Coturnix japonica: one gene and its partners. The protein of the gene in region 5 interacts with the protein of the main gene of each other region in a biochemical or structural test. Links are inferred from orthologs where the notes say so. Each region holds a gene or a part of one and is shown on either strand. Other genes may lie near its edges. The genes, in order: AKT1, MPHOSPH10, RRP1B, MAPT and PPP1CA.

The links.
Region 1: of the proteins of PPP1CA (region 5) and AKT1, one has a biochemical effect on the other in vitro, tested with the Homo sapiens proteins (3 studies listed by BioGRID and IntAct, with this or other methods). The link is inferred for Coturnix japonica from reciprocal best matches to the Homo sapiens genes PPP1CA and AKT1.
Region 2: the proteins of PPP1CA (region 5) and MPHOSPH10 form a complex in vitro, tested with the Homo sapiens proteins (2 studies listed by BioGRID and IntAct). The link is inferred for Coturnix japonica from reciprocal best matches to the Homo sapiens genes PPP1CA and MPHOSPH10.
Region 3: the proteins of PPP1CA (region 5) and RRP1B form a complex in vitro, tested with the Homo sapiens proteins (4 studies listed by BioGRID and IntAct, with this or other methods). The link is inferred for Coturnix japonica from reciprocal best matches to the Homo sapiens genes PPP1CA and RRP1B.
Region 4: of the proteins of PPP1CA (region 5) and MAPT, one has a biochemical effect on the other in vitro, tested with the Homo sapiens proteins (2 studies listed by BioGRID). The link is inferred for Coturnix japonica from reciprocal best matches to the Homo sapiens genes PPP1CA and MAPT.

What each region holds. Positions count from the first base shown.
Region 1 is NC_029520.1:46,937,115-46,940,626, forward strand, and holds part of AKT1 (RAC-alpha serine/threonine-protein kinase), read right to left. Parts: intron 1,951-3,512; coding exon 1,882-1,950; intron 1,215-1,881; coding exon 1,089-1,214; intron 1-1,088. UniProt on the Homo sapiens protein: AKT1 is one of 3 closely related serine/threonine-protein kinases (AKT1, AKT2 and AKT3) called the AKT kinase, and which regulate many processes including metabolism, proliferation, cell survival, growth and angiogenesis.
Region 2 is NC_029525.1:4,862,251-4,866,349, forward strand, and holds the start of MPHOSPH10 (U3 small nucleolar ribonucleoprotein protein MPP10), read right to left. Parts: upstream 2,805-4,099; 5' UTR 2,789-2,804; coding exon 2,519-2,788; intron 781-2,518; coding exon 701-780; intron 1-700. UniProt on the Homo sapiens protein: Component of the 60-80S U3 small nucleolar ribonucleoprotein (U3 snoRNP). Required for the early cleavages during pre-18S ribosomal RNA processing. Part of the small subunit (SSU) processome, first precursor of the small eukaryotic ribosomal subunit.
Region 3 is NC_029516.1:99,131,569-99,135,080, reverse strand, and holds part of RRP1B (ribosomal RNA processing protein 1 homolog B), read right to left. Parts: coding exon 3,509-3,512; intron 2,411-3,508; coding exon 1,683-2,410; intron 1-1,682. UniProt on the Homo sapiens protein: Positively regulates DNA damage-induced apoptosis by acting as a transcriptional coactivator of proapoptotic target genes of the transcriptional activator E2F1.
Region 4 is NC_029542.1:2,390,825-2,395,118, forward strand, and holds the start of MAPT (microtubule-associated protein tau), read right to left. Parts: upstream 2,806-4,294; 5' UTR 2,721-2,805; intron 4-2,720; 5' UTR 1-3. UniProt on the Homo sapiens protein: Promotes microtubule assembly and stability, and might be involved in the establishment and maintenance of neuronal polarity.
Region 5 is NC_029520.1:170,041-174,084, forward strand, and holds PPP1CA (serine/threonine-protein phosphatase PP1-alpha catalytic subunit), read right to left. Parts: upstream 2,804-4,044; 5' UTR 2,654-2,803; coding exon 2,494-2,653; intron 2,101-2,493; coding exon 1,969-2,100; intron 1,889-1,968; coding exon 1,658-1,888; intron 1,264-1,657; coding exon 1,159-1,263; intron 1,086-1,158; coding exon 862-1,085; intron 691-861; coding exon 556-690; intron 474-555; coding exon 363-473; 3' UTR 175-362; downstream 1-174. Other genes in the region: cell cycle checkpoint control protein RAD9A, read left to right, coding at 1-99; CARNS1 (carnosine synthase 1), read left to right, coding at 3,983-3,985. UniProt on the Homo sapiens protein: Protein phosphatase that associates with over 200 regulatory proteins to form highly specific holoenzymes which dephosphorylate hundreds of biological targets.

The DNA of each region.
Region 1 (3,512 bases), about 47 Mb from region 5:
TAGTTCTTTAGGGAGCATTAGGGGACTCATTTGCAATCTTTGGGTAACTGGTCATATATACAAAATGATACTGAATGTAAACATATTTGTGCTTCCAAAAATATTATCACCAACAGAACATCAGATTCTTTTAAAAATAATGCATTGTTACTCCTCATATAACTTCATCCCTGCTTTTATTCTTAAGTGACTGTGTACAATATTCTGTACTATTAAAGAATAGTAAATGAATGAAAGTAAATATGTAAGTTTAAGGAACTGTTTGTCAGAGTTCCTTTATATGAGAGTCATTTTGTACATCTACCCAACACTTGATATTCATTCTAGTCTGCACTACCAATTTGTAACAAGCACGATTTCAATACAGAATGTCAAACTACGTAAGAAACAAAGTGCAATTTCAAAGGAATCCCACTCATATGGGATACAAAATCCCAGCAGGAATCCCTAGAAGCACTTTGAAGTAGCCTGCAAATATTACCTTGCATGCTCCCAGTAGCATCACCTCATTCTCTCCTGAAAACACTTCTCAGAAAACCAGTTTTGTTGTTGCAACACCCTTGAGAACTTCCCAAGTTTGTTTTTCCTGAGATTCCTTACTCAGTACTCTTCCCTCTCTGCTCACCACACATAAGCCATTCGAACTTTATGCAATTTTTTCTCTGCAAAAAGGTACTACGAAGATAGTGATGCACAGCAGATTGAAAGGAAGAACAACATCCACACAGTGTGAATTTGCATGTATCTGATAAGACCTGGTATGAAGAGTCCAGAATTGTATTTCATCACGTGTGAAGCCAGAAAGGTTTCTCTTGGAACAAGCAGTCAGGTGAGAATACAACCCACAATGCTCAGACCCTCTTTGTATTCTCCAGAACACTGTCAGAGCCCTGATAAATGCACTAGACAAGCTCTCAGGCTACAAAGCTGCTTAGACACTCTGTAAAGTCAAGCTCGACAGCTGCAATAACTGTTATGTTAAACTTCAGTCAGAAAAGGCTTTCTTACAGTCAAGGCTCATTTACTTCTGTGACTAAGAAACCGAAAGCCCAAATCCAAAAAGCCTTTGAAATTGTTTTTCTACATACCTTCAAATCTCTGTAAACCACATTCTTCTCTGAATGCAGGTAATCCAGCGCTGAAACAATCTCAGCTCCATAAAAACGTGCCCGGTCTTCAGAAAATACGCGCTCTCTCGACAGATGGAAAAACAACTACAAGAACAACAGTGTATCACATTTAGATAGTGAATGTTTTTGAGTTACATCTAACACTTTGCAGGCCATCACGCATCTGATGTTACCTGAGAGAAAACCCCATCCACACCCAGCTGCGTTCCCAAATGTTTTAAAAACCATCATAAACAACACATTATAACTCGTACTCACAGATGTAAGCTAATAACTAGTTTGTATGCTACACTTTCTTCTGTGTACAGAAAATAAAACCTTTAAATCAAATTACAGTTACGTATTATAGCTATCCTATGGCACAGTTCAATGTTGATATTTCATCTTTTCCTTCTTAAATAACAGCATTTTTCTGCACTTCAAATTCTCTCCATAGTGATGTGCTCATAATGTTCATCTAGAAGTATTAAAACCTGCCTGAAAAGCAAACAGAAAGTCACTTTTCTGAATAACTAAATGTTAAAGTATGTTGCCATCATATGTAAAATACAAACCTACACCCAAACCTGCACTAAGATGAAGAAATATGTGTCTTAATATTAGTTAAAACTGCAGACAGCTCTGTTTAGGTGGGACAACTAGGATTAACTAGAAATGCAAACACAGACCTTAGCTAAACAATGGCAAGCACAATTAGTAGTAGTAGTAAAGGAATATCCTACATTATTGAACATTATTATGTTTCCCTTACCTCCCCTCCATTAGCATACTCCATGACAAAACACAAGCGATCATGTGTCTGAAAGGAATACTTTAAAGCCTGAAACAGATTTAAACGAAAAATCAGAAGATCGCACTGACAGTTAGAAAAAGCATTTTGAATCAGTATTTAGGCAGACAAAAAATAAGATTTCAGAGGACTTTTTGTCCTTGACTCTGATATAATACTTGCAGTTTCTTGTTTGAGCTGAGTACTGATCCACCACCAACTTATTTTATTAAATATATTGAAAGCAACATTACAAACAAATCCCTTGCAGAAGCTATTGGTAATGCCTATAATGCTGTGGGAAGCCCTAACCTGTTACAATTGTACAAAATGCACTGGCAGTGTCACTGGAGTATCTTCCCCAGGCCACAGGTTCCCAGTTTGATCTCTCAGACTGTGGGCCACAGCCAAATCCAAGAGCACAAGGTTTTGCCACGCTGGCTGCAAGCCCACTAGTGTGAAACAAGTGCGCTTACAGACACCAGCCCCCTGGTCTCTGCCCTGCTCACTGCAACTGCTCTTTGTTGACAGCCTGCCAGGGGATTGAGCAATGCTATCAATATCCACTTGTGAGCAATTTGCAAAAACAGATCAGACAGAGGGTGTGATGGAGTGTCACAAGGTGTCTTTGCACAGTTGTGTCATGGGTACTCCTGCAGCAAGAGTAACACCAACTTGTTTGCCATGGTCTTATGTTTCTTGGTCACAACCTGCTCTCCTAGCTGACTTCAAGACTGCTTTGGAATTTAGGGTTTACAAAAGCAATGAAAAAATACCACATTTGGTATAATCACCATCTTCATTATTAGAGAAATCATTTTTGCACCAGCCATGGTTTCACAAAGAAAAGGGGGACCAGGTTTTAGACAGTCACCAAACATGAACTGATTATACTCGATTCTGCTAATATTTACTTTCAGAGGTCATGCTTTAAAAGCTTAAATTCCAGTTAAACTCGTGTGTACCTGGATGAGGGAAACCACCAGGATACTACGTAGGTCTCTGAAGGGTTGGAAATGATTCAAAGCAAACTCGTAATGAATACTACAAAATCTTGATGCAGAACTCAATCCAGGGAGACTGCTGGTGCTAGAGATGTAAAGTGAGGCTACAGCTTCATCTAGCAGTTAGACAATCTAAATGGAAAGCAGCAGATAAAGCACGGTCCTGCTCTCCCCTGTCCTACCCCACACTTCTGCTGGCATTAAAACAGCTCCGATTGCACAGTGAGCTGCTTGTGGGATTGTGAGAAGGAAAAAAAATACTAAAGGGCTTTTCCCACTATGTAACCCTGAACTCATCAGTCACAAGGTCAGAGTCATCCTGATCTTTGTCACAGAGGACAGCAAGCATCTGGAGGACAGGGAAAGCAAATAATTATCTTAAGAGACAGCAGCCATTATACAGGTGAGCCATAACATCAAATCACATCCTGAAACTACAAGGTCTCTGATTTCACGAGGCGCTGAAGGTCTGATCCACGAGGCTCTAGAAAGGATTATAATTTATGCTTCCCAAAAATGGAAACATACAAGAATATATAGCTGCTCTAAAAACACAGATCTCAGATGCATTATATAAACAACCAAAAAAACAAGGAAAGTCTCAGCTGT
Region 2 (4,099 bases), on a different chromosome or scaffold from region 5:
TCAGAGAGCATGCCAGTGTACTTAGTTTCTCATAGACTGCAGTCACAGTTTGTTGACTTATTCATGGCCAGGCCTCATGTTATTTGTGTGTGTTAAGCAAGCAGTGTTTGTCCTGATACTTTTCTAAGTTCATTTTGATATCAACTGTAAAAGCTGAATACTTTCTGTTTCTCTCATTATTTTTCCCAGTCCTTAGAAATAATATTTTTACCAGCTAAACCACAACCTGCATTTTTTATTTTCCTGCACATACTGTGAATTGTTCCACCTTGATCTAAAATAAGTTCATTTTATTCTAGGATAGAAAAACCTCTGGTTTTATCATGTTCAGTCTGCAATTAATCCACCTGGATTTAAGAAAAAATAGTGCATCAGTTTGGATTTGTGATCATTATTACCATCTTTACCCAGTTTATCGTAAGTTTTGGAATAACTTCTGTTTTGAAGCCACAGTTGCAGCATTTAAAACGGTTGTGAGACTGACCATTTGGAAAGCTGTGAATGAATGACAAGAGAAACTTCTTCTCACCACTTCCTGAATGGGATATCTTTCTTAATGCACATGCCAAAGTATTGCTGCATGTTGCTAAGGACAGTCCTTGGATTTGGACTGTCTTGCTGTGGCAGATTAATGGAAATTGATGTGACCAAGAAGGTCTTACCGGAAAACAGCAGAATGTGGGAATGGTGAGATACTAACAGGAAGGGCTCAGCTGATTCTCTCCTTATTAGAAATTCTTCCACTAGTGATACGGACTTGGGTTTGTTGGGCTCCAGAACCTATAGTTAAGAGAAAAAGGTAAGAGTTAATTGTTTTATCACTGTATTTGTGAAATTATTAGACTGTGAAGCAGAAGAAAATTCCTAGCACTTCTCATACTGGTACTGGGCTGCACTAGAAGTAGTCAGTAAACTGATAGTTTAAATCACAGAATGTTGAATCGTGTAAGATTAATATGGAAATGGAAACTAACAACTTACAAGGGATTTACTTATGAACTTACAAAGGAATTGGCCAACACTTTAAAATGGAAGATCTCACCTTCTTGGAAACACAAATTCTATCACCTTTGATAAATGTTTTTAAAGCAGTTTGAATGTTTTATGAAATGCAAATTTACTTTATTGTGAAGGAGGAATGTTTGCCTCATAAAACTGTATAGTCCTTTAGTATTTATAACGTTATGCTATCTCTGGTGTTTCATGTTCATTTGCACTGTCTCTCACGTTATTAAAAGCACAGTTAATTGCTCAATGTACAGCATAGATTCACAAGTTAGGAAGAGTTCTTCCAAACGTTTAAAGTAGATATATTTTGAAGTATTTTGTGACATTTCTAGATGTAATTTGAAGTGATCTTTAACTGTTAACGCTTTGTTACCATAAAAATAGTACACAGGTACTAAAATCTTCCATAAGATGTTAAATGAACCTTTTAATTCACTTTTACATTGCATTTTTTCCAGTAATAAAGATAAGTTTAAGTCATGATTTAAAGGAAACAAAAAGTTCTAAAGTAACAAGTAACTGTGAGAGACCAGACATTTTGCATTAAATGAGAAGGAAAACCTCACTTCTGCATCAGTGGCTGGTACCACAGACAAAAAGAAAAGAAGATAAATGTAGCAGCTTAATAACAAATAGCTGTTGTGTGAATCCTAATAGAAATTGAACCTAAACAAACAAAAAATCCATGAGCTGGGTTTCCATGAAAGGCCTTTGCATATAGATGGAATTTGAGTTGGTGCTAAGCAACTGGTACAGCTACCGCAGGGCAAACAAAGCGTACCAAGCTGGACGGGATGCAGAGTGAACATCGAGACTGACCAGAACGCAATACAATGACATTAAGGCGGCTTTTCACTTTTGCTGTCATTACAAAGATTGCCTTTTAGAGTCAATAACTACAAGTCTGAGATCTGCATATTGATGAGCAAGTCCTGTCATAACTGGCCTAGCAGCACTCCATCTCACATGTTCTCCTTAATTTACCCAGTAACTGCAATCACCTCCCTGTGGGAAGATCTCGTTGTTTCTGGTAAAACGACCGAGAAGCCAACTGGGTTTGTCACTGACCATAAGAAATGTCATTCTTGGAAAACTACAGGATCACAGAATGGCCTGGGTTGAAAAGGCCCACAGTGCTCATCCAGCTCCAACCCTTGCTATGTGCAGGGTCACCAACCAGCAGCCCAGGCTGCCCAGAGCCACATCCAGCCTGGCCTCGAATCCTGCAGGGATGGGGATCCACAGCCTCTTTGGGCAACCTGTTCCAGTGCATCACCTCCCTCTGTGTGAAAAACTTCCTCTAATATCTAACCTAAACCTCCCGTCTCACTTTCAAACCGTTCCCCTCGCCCTATCCCTATCCCTATCCTTATCCTTATCCTTATCCTTATCCTTATCCTTATCCTTATCCTTATCCTTATCCTTATCCTTATCCCTATCCCTATCCCTATCCCTATCCCTATCCCTATCCCTACCCCTACTCCTACCCCTATCCCCCCTGTAGCCATACCCCGTCCTTCAGGCCGCTCTGCGGGGTGCTGAGTCGGGCTCGAATCGCGGGTCTCGATCGAGTGGTGCTCGCGGCGGGTTCCTCCCCGTCTCCCTTTGGCGCCGCGGCGGTGGCGCTATGTGCCATGCATGTTCCCGGGCGGCCGGCTGTATTCTCGCACGCAGCTTCCCGGGCCCACCAGCCGTGTCGGTGTGTGGCGCCGAGGCTGCACACAAAAGAGCGGTTGCTGCCCCCGTGTCGGTCGCCGCGGCGCGGGGTGGGGACCGGCATCGCGGCTGTCAGCCAGGGTAAGAAGCGGGGCCGCAGGGCACGGACCCCGCGGGCGGCGACACGGCGGGGCCGGGGCTCCTTGGCGGGTGGGGCGGCAGCATCCCCGCGGCTCCTCGGGGGAGCGGGAGCCCCGCGGCGCCTCACGGAGCTGAGCGGGCGAACCTCGGCCCGAGCGGGCGCCGCGCACCTCGAGAGCGGCAGCGGGGCCGCCCCCGGCCCGTCCCCCGCCGCCGGTAACCGCTGTGCCCGAGGGGGGACCCTCCGGCTTTGGGGGCAGCCCTGCGGCATGGCGGCGCGGGGCTCGGCCGTGCGGGGCTGCGCGGGGCCGCTCTCCTCCCGCCGCCCCTCGGCCGCCCGGAGCCCGCGGGGATGGTCGGGGCGCTGCACCGGGCGGCCGCTGTGCCGCTGTGCTCCCCGCGGGACGGCCGCCCCCAGCGCTGTGCCCGGCCCGCCCGGCTCCGCTCGGCTCCGTGCGCTGATGCGGGCGCTCGGTGCAGACGGGCGGCGCGGCTACACGCACAGTGTCAGGGTTTTGTTGCAGGGCTGGAGGCTCGAGGGTCCGTTAATGGTCAGACGAAACGCAGGAGAAGCCCTCATGCAATGCAGCACCGCTAGGAGTTTGTTTCTGATTTCATGCCTCCCATGCAGCAAACGGATCAAACATTGTCATTAGCTTTTTTTTTTTTTATCCTTTTTTTCTTTTTTTTCCCCCGCTCCCTTCGTCATCAGATCTGGAGGGGAAAAAGCTGCTCCATGAGGGGCTCCCAATTTTTCCTGGGATAAACAGCAGCAGGCATTACATGGTGATCTGCCTTCCCCTTTTGGAGCAGTTTTTGAATCCAATTCTTGTATTGCCGTAACAAAAGGGATGGGGGTGGGGGAGAGGAGGGGAATGCTGCGTTTCTGGCTGCATCTCGAGAGGTGAGGGCTGGCTCCTTGCCTCGGCAGCCTGCGCTTACAGGGCTCTGTACTTAGCATCCTCAGTGTCATCCTGGCGGCTGCTGCATGGCACTGAGGGCGTATAAGGAGTGTAAATAAAGGCGACAGAAATCTGGTTGCAATTCAAAGATGATATGCATTACGTTGAGGGTTAAGAAAAGTCAGAAATGACTGTGGCTCATTTGGGTAAGAAATGGAAATGTCTCAGTTGTATTACCTTGTCAAGGCCACTGTATAATCTCCATGGAGGGGGGCTGGGAAATCTGTTTGCAGAGAAGGTATTCTATCTATTCTGCCTATTGCCCAGTGCTCCCTCATTTTAGCAGCAGAAATGAACAACAGAAGCAACTGCTATCACAGTTCTGTGTGGCT
Region 3 (3,512 bases), on a different chromosome or scaffold from region 5:
TATGGTGTCTGTGTACACTTGAGAAATCCAGCAAGTATAATTTGCTACTAGTCTGCTGCCCTCCCCTCAGTTTCACCGTGAGTGTTGCCATTAGGAAACCTGCCCATGCCAGAGGGGTTGGAATAAAATAGACTGAGGTGAATGGGATGAAGTTCAACACGACCAGGTGTCAGGTCCTGCACTTTGGTCACAACAACCCCCCTGCAGTGCTACAGGTTTGGGGCAGAATGGCTAGAAGGCTGTTCTCAGGAAACAGATCTGGGGATGCTGGTTGATTCTTGGCATAACATGAGCCACAGATCAACAGAATGGTAGGGTTGGAAGGGACCTCTAGAGATCATCGAGTCCAACCCCCTGCCAAAGCAGGCTCCCTACACCATGTCACACAGGTAGGCGTCCAGGCGGGTCTTGAATATCTCCAGAGAAGGAGACTCCACCACCTCCGCTGGGCAGCCTGTTTCCAGTGCTCCATCACCCTCACCGTAAAAAGTTCTTCCGCACATTCATGTGGAACTTCCTATGCTGTACTTTCATCCATTACCCCTTGTCCTGTCCCAGTTGTGCACCCAGGTGGCAGAGAAAGCGAATGGCATCCTGGCTTATATCAGAAATAGTACAGCCAGCAGGAGCACTTAACTGATCAGATACTTTTTTTTAATTAGACATTTAAGTCAAACAGAAATGAGCTAACAGGCTACTAACGTGCTGTAGTTAATCAGAGGAAGACTGAGTTTTGTATACCAAATTTAACTGATGGTTTATGAATTTTCTATCCTTTGAAGTAGTAATGTCAGCAAGACTTCCAATAATACGCTTGAGCCCATAAATGCTTAAGGGTAAATGTCCACACAGAAAATGAATGGTTAAAAGGATTTCAGAGGCGAGGAGCAGAATAATACTATCTTTCTACAATGCCCCCAAAAACGTACAGTGCAAAACACTTTTGGACTCTCAAATTGCTGAAATCTACCTTCACCGCCAAAAGAAAATGGGAATGGGAGGTAGAGGGGGAAAAACGAACTTGTTCCCAAATTGCAAAACTGCACGTAGTAAGAACAGTACAGTCAGACCTTCCCAGCAAAAATCCAGCCTGACCTTTATGAGAAACTACATCATTCTCAAAAGTGATCGTGCAACCACTGATGACACTGAAATTCCCAGTGCCGTACCATCTGTTCACTCTTTTCTGCATAGCACTAACAAGGTGCAGAAGTGAGTTAGCAAAAGAAGCCATGATTGGAGTTACTGAAGGCAATATCACAAGGAGCTTATACTAATCCAAGTATACAGTATTGCTGCTGAAATAAGCGTTCCATCTCGGCATTCCCATCCTTTCGCCGAGATATGCCAAGGTTGCAAACATGCCTGTCCAGAGACCCAGTGCAAATCAATAATTAAGTCAAAGGGGAAATCAAAATCAAACAAACTACCCTAGCCAACAGCAAAGACTGCTCCACATCCTAACTAACCAAGTCTCAGTCACATGAATACTTTCACAGGGGTAGCTGGCATAGGATCTAATGTAATAGTGTGAGAAGGTTTAAGAATGTAGCAGGAGTGAGAGGATTTTTGGGAAACTGGTCCTTTTAGTAACTGTACAGGCCAGATGTAAAAAGCAGCCTGGAAGCTTGTGAAGAAACAAAAGGGAGGGGGAAAAAAAAGAAAGAAATAGATCTACATACCTCCTTTCTGCTTTTCTTGCATGCAGTCTCCAGAATTCCATTGGTTTCAACAGAATTTAGCACCTCTTTAACTTTCCTCTTCTTTTTCAAGATTGCTGCTTTCTGGTTGGAGACCTCGATCCCTTCCAAAGCAACCAGCTTTGTCTTCTTCAATTTGACCTTTCCAGAGGGTTCAGATCCAGAGTCCACAGCCCTTGGCAGTGGGCCCTCCTTGTTGGATTTCAAGTCTGTCTGCTGCAAAAAGTTCTCCCCATTGACCAAGGCAGACCCTGCTTTTAGTTTCTTCTTCCCAGCCTTGGGAATTAATGGTGCGACAGATGGGTTGACATCCTCTGCTTTTTTGGCATTAGCTGGACCATTTTGACACTCCAGCTTTCCAAGAACATTCTGCACTTCTGGTTTCATTTTCTCTGACTGAATCTTTTTACTCTGTTCTGTGTCATTCTGACCACTCGGTGTGGAGATGCTGTGCTTATCTCTGGTGTCACTTACTGCATTTCTGATCTCATTTGCCTCATTAACTACCAATTTCTTTTTCTTCTTTATCTTATTATTTTCTGGCATTTTTCCCACGTTACATTTAACAGATCCAGATGTTTCAGCTATTCCCTCCTCAGAATTTCCATCAGTTGTTCCAGAATCAGCACGTGGGCTCTCCCTTCTCTTCCTTTTTTTCCTCCTCTTCTGTGGTACTGATGTCTCTTTTGCACTTGATGTCTCTTGTTCATCTGTAAGGTGGAATGATGCAAAGATGGTAACGAATATTCAAAAGGTTATTTATGAGGAAAAACTCACCAATATGGATGCCTTTCCTGGGAAATGCTGAGGCAATCTCCACTAAGGAGCAATCTCAAAGAGATGCTGCCTTAGTGGTGGTCAGCCCTTAAATGAGGTCTAGAGGAGGTGGAGTCAAGCTCCACCCCTTCCAGGAGCACAGCTGAATTACCCTCACCTGTGCTCCCACAGCTGATCCAACACTTGCCTCAGCTGACTAATCAGAGCTTCAGGCTATGATTACCAGTTTCCCATACATTCATCCTTTCCTGAGCCTACTCCAAAAGGAATGCCATACAACACAAATGTGAAACAAAAGGGTACATACAGCAAATGAGTTTAAAAAAATAAAAAAGATTAGTTCTTTTCTTTATTTATTTTCTCCTAATAGACATAATCTTTTCTTGTTTTACTGCTACAGCTGATCAGGACATCACATTCCCTTAGCTCCTAGCCTAATTAATATTTTGCTGATCTTGCCTTGTCACAGCTGACTATTCCATTATATAAGCTATTTCACGTGGGAAGAATATTTTGTATAGAAACAACATTAGAAAGAGTTATTATCTACCTGTTAATCCCAGAAGGGCAACTCAGGGGTTCAGTACTTTAGCAAGGTATTTTTGGTATGATTCAGCTTTGCCCAAGTCAGTATTAGACACGCTGCTATAGACTTGTTTCTGCTTCTTAGGAGCTTTCTTCACCTATCCAGAAGCTCCACCAAATTCCTATATTCTGATATCCTTTTCCAGAAACACTGACACGTTTCTGTTTTTCTACAGTAAGTGAACTGCTCAGTGGAGCAATGCAAACAACTGCTTTCAGTTCTGCTTTCGATCAAAACTGAGGCGATCTTTACCTCACAAAAGAGAAACAAAATTCCCATCACTATCAAACAGAGCTTAATTTCACTTTTAACCTTCATTGCAACACAAATCAGTGCGCTCTCAACAACAGTTTATGCCTTCTTCAGTATTGCAGTATCCAACACTTCGCATTATTGGACAAGTGATCATAGATCATCTCTCTTAGAAAGATTGATCTTGTCTTACCTTT
Region 4 (4,294 bases), on a different chromosome or scaffold from region 5:
TACCTGAAGAAGGAAACAAAAGCAATGATTGCAAAGCCTGGAGCCTTGTTGGTGTGCTCCAAACCACCTCAGCTCCATCCCAGGAGCATCCTCTGGCCAGCAATGAGCCAACAAATGCACGCTGCCTCCTCAGCCACAGCAAGAAGGGAGCTGCTTTATCTCCTTTCCTTGATGAGACCCCAAATCACATCACAGTGTGCAGGGATGCTCAGGATACACAGATGCCCATTGGGTTTCACATCACAGTGTGCAGGGATGCTCAGGATACACAGATGCCCATTGGGTTTCACATAGCTGTGCTCAAACACTCCCCAGAGCATCCTGTGCCCCCACATTCACCAGGAGCACATTCCACCCGCACTCATTGAGCAGTGCAAAGTGCTAACACACCAAACCAGGACCTCAGGGGGCTTTTAAAAGTGCTTAAAGGAAGAGAACCCAACAACAAACACAAGCTGCAGGCACCATGCCTGTCCTTCTGATTGGACAGACATGGATTTTAGTTGACTTCCTAATAGCTGATGTAATTACAGCCACTGGCAGTGATTAATAACAGGCTATTAGTGTAATCGTGTGCTTGCCATGACCGTCAGGAGCAAATGGATGCAGCAGTGAGGCTCGGGTCACTGCAAGCAAGGAAGCAAACACACGTGGTTTTGTTTGCTGGCAAGAAATAAACAGGATATATGGAACCGAGCAAGAGAAGCTCCAATGGCAGTAAGCAGAGCTCCTGCCCAGCTTCTTTAAGCCTTAGGAAGATGAATGTACAACTTCACTGCTGCCTTTGACAGCCACAAAGCTTGGACAAGGACAGCCCTCCCAGCCCAGCTCACTGAGCACCCACACACCTTTGTGTGTGCTGACCCAGATGCAGACCATCCACTCATCCCACTGCTGGGTTCCAATGATGCTCACGTCCTCCTCTCCTGCCCCCCCCCCGCCCCAGTGTTTGGAATGGAGCTCTCAGCACCTCTCTTTGAAAGTCACATTTAGTGCTTTCCTGCCTCTGGACAAGAATTTCCTGGGCCACCATCCAGCACTGACTCCTGGCTCCACATCCAGCTCACATTCCCAGCCTGGGGCTCATCTGCCCGTTCTGTGGACAGGGTTCAGCTCAGCTCAGCTCAAGACGTCCCACTTCTCCTCCGAGCTCAGCATTTCAGCATCTGTGCAGCCCTGGCACGGCAGCAGCCAGCAGTGATTCAGCAAAGGCCATGGAGCCGCCTGCCTGCAGTGCTGGCTCTCACTGCTGCTTTCTGACACCAGGAAACGTTTGGCTGCTTCTTAGGGAACCCGTCGGTCTCACTGTCTCTCTATGAGCTGCAAAAAAATCCTTTAATGCTGTTCTGCTCACAGCTGGGCACAGACAGCCCTGCTCCCATTGAGCTCCATGCATGGCTGGAGCTGAAGGAGCGGGGATGGGCTCCTAATTAATTTTGCAGAGATAAGAGCTGCCCGTTAGGTTACAAGGAAAAAAGCATCACCTAAAGCCACAAAGAGCCGAGGATTAAATCACCCAGATGCCCCCTGAGAGCTGCAGGACACACAACTGTTTGGACAGAGGGACTTTGGGGAGCAGCAGCATCTCCCAATGGGGCTGGATGGCTTCGTGCTGTGCCTGCAGGGCAGCAGGATGGAAGCAGGCTCTCCCTGCAAGGGCTGGGATGCAAAAGCATTACAACAGGGCTGATAAAGCTTCAGCACAACAGAGAGGTAAACAAACGACACCAAGCAGTCCAGAGGGTGAGGCCAAGTGAGCCAGCAGCACCATTATCTCTTAGCTGCAAAGCTCTCCCAGCTGGGTTGGAAATACACAGGCTGTATCATCACGCAGTCATATTCAACACTATAAAGGCGTTTTATGCCTCTCTGATGGATGCTGGAGTCCATTCTCCCCCACATCAGCTAAAAGCAGGATCAGAACATGAGGGGGATGCACATAGTTGTGGCTCGGATCCGTCCTGCTGCAACCAGGAAGCAAAACCAAAGGGCTCATCCACAAAGCGCTTCTTATTCTAAGGGGGGTTGAAAACTGCACGTCTATGAGTTACAAACAACATCTGAGATGACAAACCTTCTGCTTCTCAAGTGGAGGAGGAGGAAATCCCTCCCGTGAAAGGGAAAAGATGTTCCAAAAGGCCGTAAGAACAGCCTCAAAGCAATGGGTTGGGAATGAGTAACTCAACAAGGAGAGCTGCAGAGCTCAACGTCAGCAGGGCACCATGCAGGAGATAAAGCACACAGCCCTACCAAGAGCCTTATCCCCTTCCAGCAGGACTATCCCCACCAAACAGGGGCCCTATCTAAGCAGCAACAGCCCACTGTGGTGTTAACAGCCCCTCAAGCCCCATTAACAGCCCCAGGCTTCCCATGGGGGCACAGATATCCGAGCTCAGCCCACCAGCACCATTAACTCCATACACACAACCCAGTCAGGTCCCTCAGCCTAAAGGTGCCCCCTAAGAGTCAAACCCAGAGTCAAAGCCAGCAGGATCTGATGCCAAAGTCCCTGCAGGGCCACCAGCAGCATCAGGATGTATCACCATCCATCACAATGGCACTGCACAGCTCTCATCCTGCTGCTATGGCCACACACTGTGCCCTCCAGCTGGGAATGCTGATGTCCCAAATGAAGCCTGGCAGCTCAAACTCTTCCTGCCTTGATGTGACGTTTCCCCGCAATGACAGGTGAATAAAAACCAGGGCTGAAAACAACGTACCCTATTGATAGCAGCCTGGGTTGGCTGAGAGGAGGAAAGCAGATGCTGGGGACCACACAGCTGTGCTTGGGTGGCACTCAGCCTTCTGTCCTGTGTGACAGATGACATCACAAAGGAGCAAAACCAAAAGGCTTCTGGTGCCAGGGGCTGAGCTGTCCTGCATGCTGTGTGCATCCCCCCACCCCCAGCAGCCCCAGCATCAGCTCACCCTGCCAGCTCTGCATGGATTCAGGGCTGTTCCCCACAGCCCCTGGGATCACAGAGCTGGGAACTGATGCTTCCATTCACATGGGCTAAAATTCCCCATATAAACCATGGATTGACAGACCTGCTGGTGGCCATTATGGGCCATGCATTTCTGCAGTGCTTGGAGAGATGCAGGCTGTGTTTGCACGCTCTGCTGCACACCCCAAGCAAGCACAAGGGGAGCAGCTGCATCCCAGCTCCTGCTCAGCTCCTTCCTTCCCCATTATTCCACCTGCAAGGGTGGCTTGTGTTACTTGAAAGCTCAACAAACATGAGCCAGCCTCGTGTTCCCTCCGACAGGTGATCAAACACAAACAGGTTGGGATGGGGTTGGTTGTTTTTTGCCCCCATTTGAATTACTCAATTAAAACGGAGCGACGGCCCCGTGAAATAACAGCAGCTTGAAAGGCTCTTCATAATTCATAAGCAGCTTCTTTTTCATCTCCTTTGTGCACTTAGCTCTTCCAAGGAGCTTGACAGGCGAAGGAATACGGGCAGTGATCTCATCAACTGCAAGCAAAGCTTAATATGGAGCGAGATGAGAAATCACAGCAAGGCAGGGGGGCAGGAAACTTCCTTTATGTTCAAAGGCAAACACAGAAGGAACTGCAAAAGGAATCCTTTCAGAAATGCATTCTTCATCATTGCTCACCTTTAACCTGTGTGTTATTAAGGCCTGGGTTACCAAGACCAGGCAGTGAATGCTCCACAGCTCTGGAAAGGAGCATTAAAAAGGAATAGCAAAGTTGGGGCTGCAAACACAGGAGCTCAAGGAATGGTCAGTTAAATACCCCCTTACAAACCCAACCTGTCCCAGCTCTGAGCACTGCATGCCCTCACCAGCTGGCTCAGGTTGCCAGAGACAAGCCAAGTGATGCTCACGTGCTGGCACGTTCCTCAGCATTGCTGAGAATTAAACTAACAGAATTTGCCATCCCAAATCAGCTTAAGGGCTGGCTCAGCAGCTGCCTCCTCACTGGGTGGCAATTAGGAGGGCAGATTATCCGAGCCCACCCTGAGCAGTGAGAGCAGCCGGTCCATGGGGAGCAGCAATGGTTCTGTGCCCCAACAGCACAGCCCTGCAAACTGGAACCTGCTGGGAGCCACATTGCATTGCAGGAATATGAAGCCTACACCTTGCATTATTGCCTCACCCCAAAACCACACACCTGAGGGCCAACCCGCTGCTATTGCTGCCACCCTTCCCTCATCTTCCATCCCTTCCTACCTTTCTTCTTCCCTCTGATCCAGCTGACCGAGCAGAATGCAATGCCCTGCAGCACCGATGTCCCTGTGCACACCCAGGAGGAGCACAGCACAGTGAGCTG
Region 5 (4,044 bases):
TTCCGCTCGTTGTTTTTTGGCTCCGTGCTGACACCGGGGGGGCCTGGCCCAGCCCCCAGCCAGGAGGTGCTGGCAGAGGACAGCGATGCCGAATGCTGAGAGCCCCCATTGCGATGCCATGGCGCAGCAGCTGGCACTGCCTGGCCACGTAGGGTGTGATCCTAAAGCCACATCTTAAGACCCATTACAAGTTTATTCCCCAAAAAAAGCCTCCTGCCCTGCCTTCACTGCCAACTGAGGGGCGGGTCCTGCCCCAGAGGGTACATTTGGTACAGTAGAAAGCGGCAAGGGCAGGATCTGACAAATAAAAAAACGAATGGAGAAAGGAGCGACCTGGTGCTGGGGCTGCTGGCGGTGGACACTCACTTCTTGGCTTTGGCAGAGTTGCGTGGTGGGGTGACGGGGCGGCCAGCAGGGTTCAGCCCACTGAACTGCCCGTACTTGCCCTTGTTCTTGTCTGCTGGTTTCAGAATCTGCAAGGAAGTGAAGGGTGAGTGAAGGGGCTGCAGGCAGAGCCCTGTGTGCTGCCCCCTCCCCGGCAAAGCCCCAGCTCACTTGGAAGGAGCACATGAGGGTCTCGTCCACACTCATCATGGCTCCTGCGTTGTCAAACTCCCCGCAGTAGTTGGGTGCAGAGAAGAGGGTGACAAGCTGGCGTTTGGCAAAGAACTCGTAGCCGTCCTCCACCACCTGTGGGGCAGCAGCACTCATATCTCCCTGTTCTCTGTCCATAGAGCCCACCAACTCCCCCAGGGGGCAGCATCCCCTTCAAAAGAGCCCAACCACATCCTCAAGAGCAAATGGCCCCTCCTGGGAAAAGCTCCACCGTTATGGAGCCCAGGTGAGGCCCGACCCCATTACCTGGTGTGCCCTGCAGATGAGATCGAGGTCATGCTTGTGCAGGAACTTGGCCACCACCTCGGCCCCAAAGGTGAAGGACACTCCTCTGTCATTTTCACCCCATCCTAAGACATCTTTGTCAGGGTCAGACCACAGGAGATCACACAGCAGGCCCTGGTCGGGTACGTCCGTGGGTCGCATGATGCGCCGGATCTGTTCCATCGACTGCAAGTCAGGAGACAGCCCTGCACAGGAGTGTCAGGTTATGCTGTGTGGCGGCCTTTGGACCCAGGCGGCAGCCCCCAGCCCTGTGCCCACCTCCGTGACAGCAGAATATCTTCTCATCCACAATTGCTGCAATTGGTAAACAGTTAAAACAATCGGTGAAGGTTTTCCACAGCTTGATGTTGTATCGCCGCTTGCCTGTGAGGCAGCGGGGTGGGTGCTCACAGGAGCCCTTCATGTGGGCCATGTTCCACCCTCCCCACCCTCTGGTGTATCACAACACACACAGGGCAGCACTGAACCCTCCAGGGGGCTGGGGGGGTGGCCGTGGAGGTGGCTGGGATGGGGGTATGAGGTCTGCAGGAGGAGGTAGCTGGGATGGGGCATAAGGTCTGCAGGAGGAGATGGCTGGGATGGGGGCATAAGGTCTGCAGGAGAAAGTAGCTGGGATGAACATAAGGTCTGCAGGAGATGGGAAGAGCTGCAAATGGGGATGGAAGGGGGGACTTTGGGCTGGCTGTATCATATGGGGTTGGCAGTGAGGTGACAAGGCAGTCCCGTTTGTCAGTAGTGGGGCCGGTGCAGCACTCACACTCATCATAGAAGCCGTAGATGCGGTTGATGCTGGCACATTCGTGGTTGCCACGCAGCAGGAAAAAGTTCTCCGGGTATTTAATTTTGTAGGCCAATAGAAGACAAATTGTTTCTAAAGACTGCTTTCCTCTGTCAACATAGTCACCAAGGAATAGGTAGTTGCTCTCTGGTGGAAAGCCTCCATATTCAAAGAGCCGAAGCAAGTCATAGTATTGTCCATGGATGTCGCCTGTAAGAAGATCGCGGGGGACACGCGGTGACGCTGGCTCCCAGCCCGCCCCCTTCCCCTCCCCCCGGCTCGTCGCTCACCGCAGATCTTGAGCGGAGCCTCGAGCTCCAGCAGGATGGGCTGGCTCAGGAATATCTCCCGTGACTTCAGGCACAGCCCCCGGATCTCGTTCTCTGTCAGCTGCACGTTCTTCCCAGGCCGTGAGCCTTGCACTGTGCGGGGGTGGCTTTCAGCAGAGCCCACTCCACCCCCGGAGCCCGCAGAGCCGCCGTGCCCTAACAGTCCCGCACTAACGCACGGCCCTCCCGGTGCCCCCGGCCCTCTGCAGCCACCCCCCATCCGCCCCGATCGCCCGCAGCCCCCCTCATTCCCACAGCCCCCAGCGGCTCCCACCGCCCGGCTCCCCCCGGCCCCCCGCTGCCCCGATACCCCCCGCTGCCCCACAGCCCCACAGTTGGACCCCCAGAGCCTCGCACGGCCCCCGTTTCCCCGCAGGCCCCGGCCCGCAGCCCCGTTCTCCAGCCCCTCCTTGGCGGCACAGCGCCGGTCCTTCCCTCCCCTAGCGGCTCCCGAGGCGGTCCGGGAGCACTAGGCCCATCGCTCACCCTCCAGGAGGCGGCCGATGATGGAGTCGAGGTTGAGCTTCTCGGTATCCGCCATGGCCGCCGGACGCTGCTTCCCCCCCCCGCCCTGGCCCGCCCCGGTCCCGGCCCCGCGGCCATAGAGAGCGGCCGGGGCGAGCGGCGGGTGGCGAGAGCGCCCCATGGCGGATGGGAGGCCGCGGAGGCGCGTGGGGGCTGCGCGCTCCCACGAGGCGGCGCCGTGTCGTTCCCCGTGCCGGCCGGTTGCCCGGCGGCTGTTGCCGTTGTCAGCCTCGCGGCGCGTGGGGAGCCCCGCGGGGACGTGTGCCGAGAGACACGGTGCTGCCACCGGCTCCACCCGCCTCACTTGTGCCCCTCGTGCCGCCGTGCCGCCCCCACGTGCAGTACGAGCCGCGCGGTGCCGGCACAGCCTGGCCCGTTGCCCGCGGTGACACCGGTGACATTTCAGCCCCGCGGTGTCAGCTGCGCCGCTGTCCCCGAACGACCCCGGCAACTGTCCCCGCTCCGCTGCCGGCTGCGTGTCCCGCTGCTCGTGTCCCGCCTCCCCGTGTCCCCCGATCCGTGCGGCCCCACGTCGCGGTGTGCTCACATCCCGTGTCTCCGTGCCCCGGCTCCTCCGATCTACCCGTCCCCACCCCGACGTTGCTCTGTCACCACGTCCCCCACTCTCAGATCCCCCTTTTCCCGTATCTTCCCTTATCTCCGTATCCTCCGATTTACCCGTCGCTACGTCCCCGTGCCTCGTATTCCCAAATCCCCGTGTCCCCGGATCCCCGTAACCCCACAGATCCTTCTCCCCGTGCTCCCTCGTTCCCCATCTCCATTTCCCCATACGCCCCAGATGTTCTCATGCCCTCGCATCCTTGTCTCCACGCCCCATAGTTCCCTCACACCCCACACCTGATACCCCGCACCCCTGAATCCTGGTGCCCGCACACCCCGCACACCCCCCATTCCCTCTCTCCCCCCCTTCCCCGCCCCGCCCCGCGCCCTCCCCCGGGGACGCCCTTCTGCCACCGAAGGCGCCTCCGCCGCCGGTGCAGAACGGGCACGGCTCCGCGGGCACCGCCGCCACGACCGCCCGAAAGCGACAGCGACCGCCGGTGGGTGCAGGCGGCGCCCGCTCCACGCGTGTCCGAGGGTGTTGGCGTGCGCCGTGCTGCGCGTGTCCGGCGGTGAAATCGCGGGCAGCCGTTGCGCTAAGCCGGGGGACGTGCGGGGCGGCACCGAGCGGCGCCGGGGACGGGCGGGTGGAAGCCGGGGACAATAGGGCTCTGTGCCGCTAAGCCCGGGCACGGGGCCGCCCCACTGCCAGCGGCCACGCGTGACTGCGGGGCACGGCTCTTCCCGGTGGGGCCGTGTGGCCGCACGCCTCAGTGTCCCTCCGGGAGCACGGTGGCACGGCGCGGTACCAGTGGGGCCGACGGTGCGGGCTGCGCCCTGCTCACCGCGACCCCTCTCCCGTCTCTCGCAGCCTCCCGACGCCCGCAACATGGTGAGTGGCGGCCCGGGGTCTGCGGGCGGGGGGCCCCTTCCCCTTTCCCGGCGGGGCTG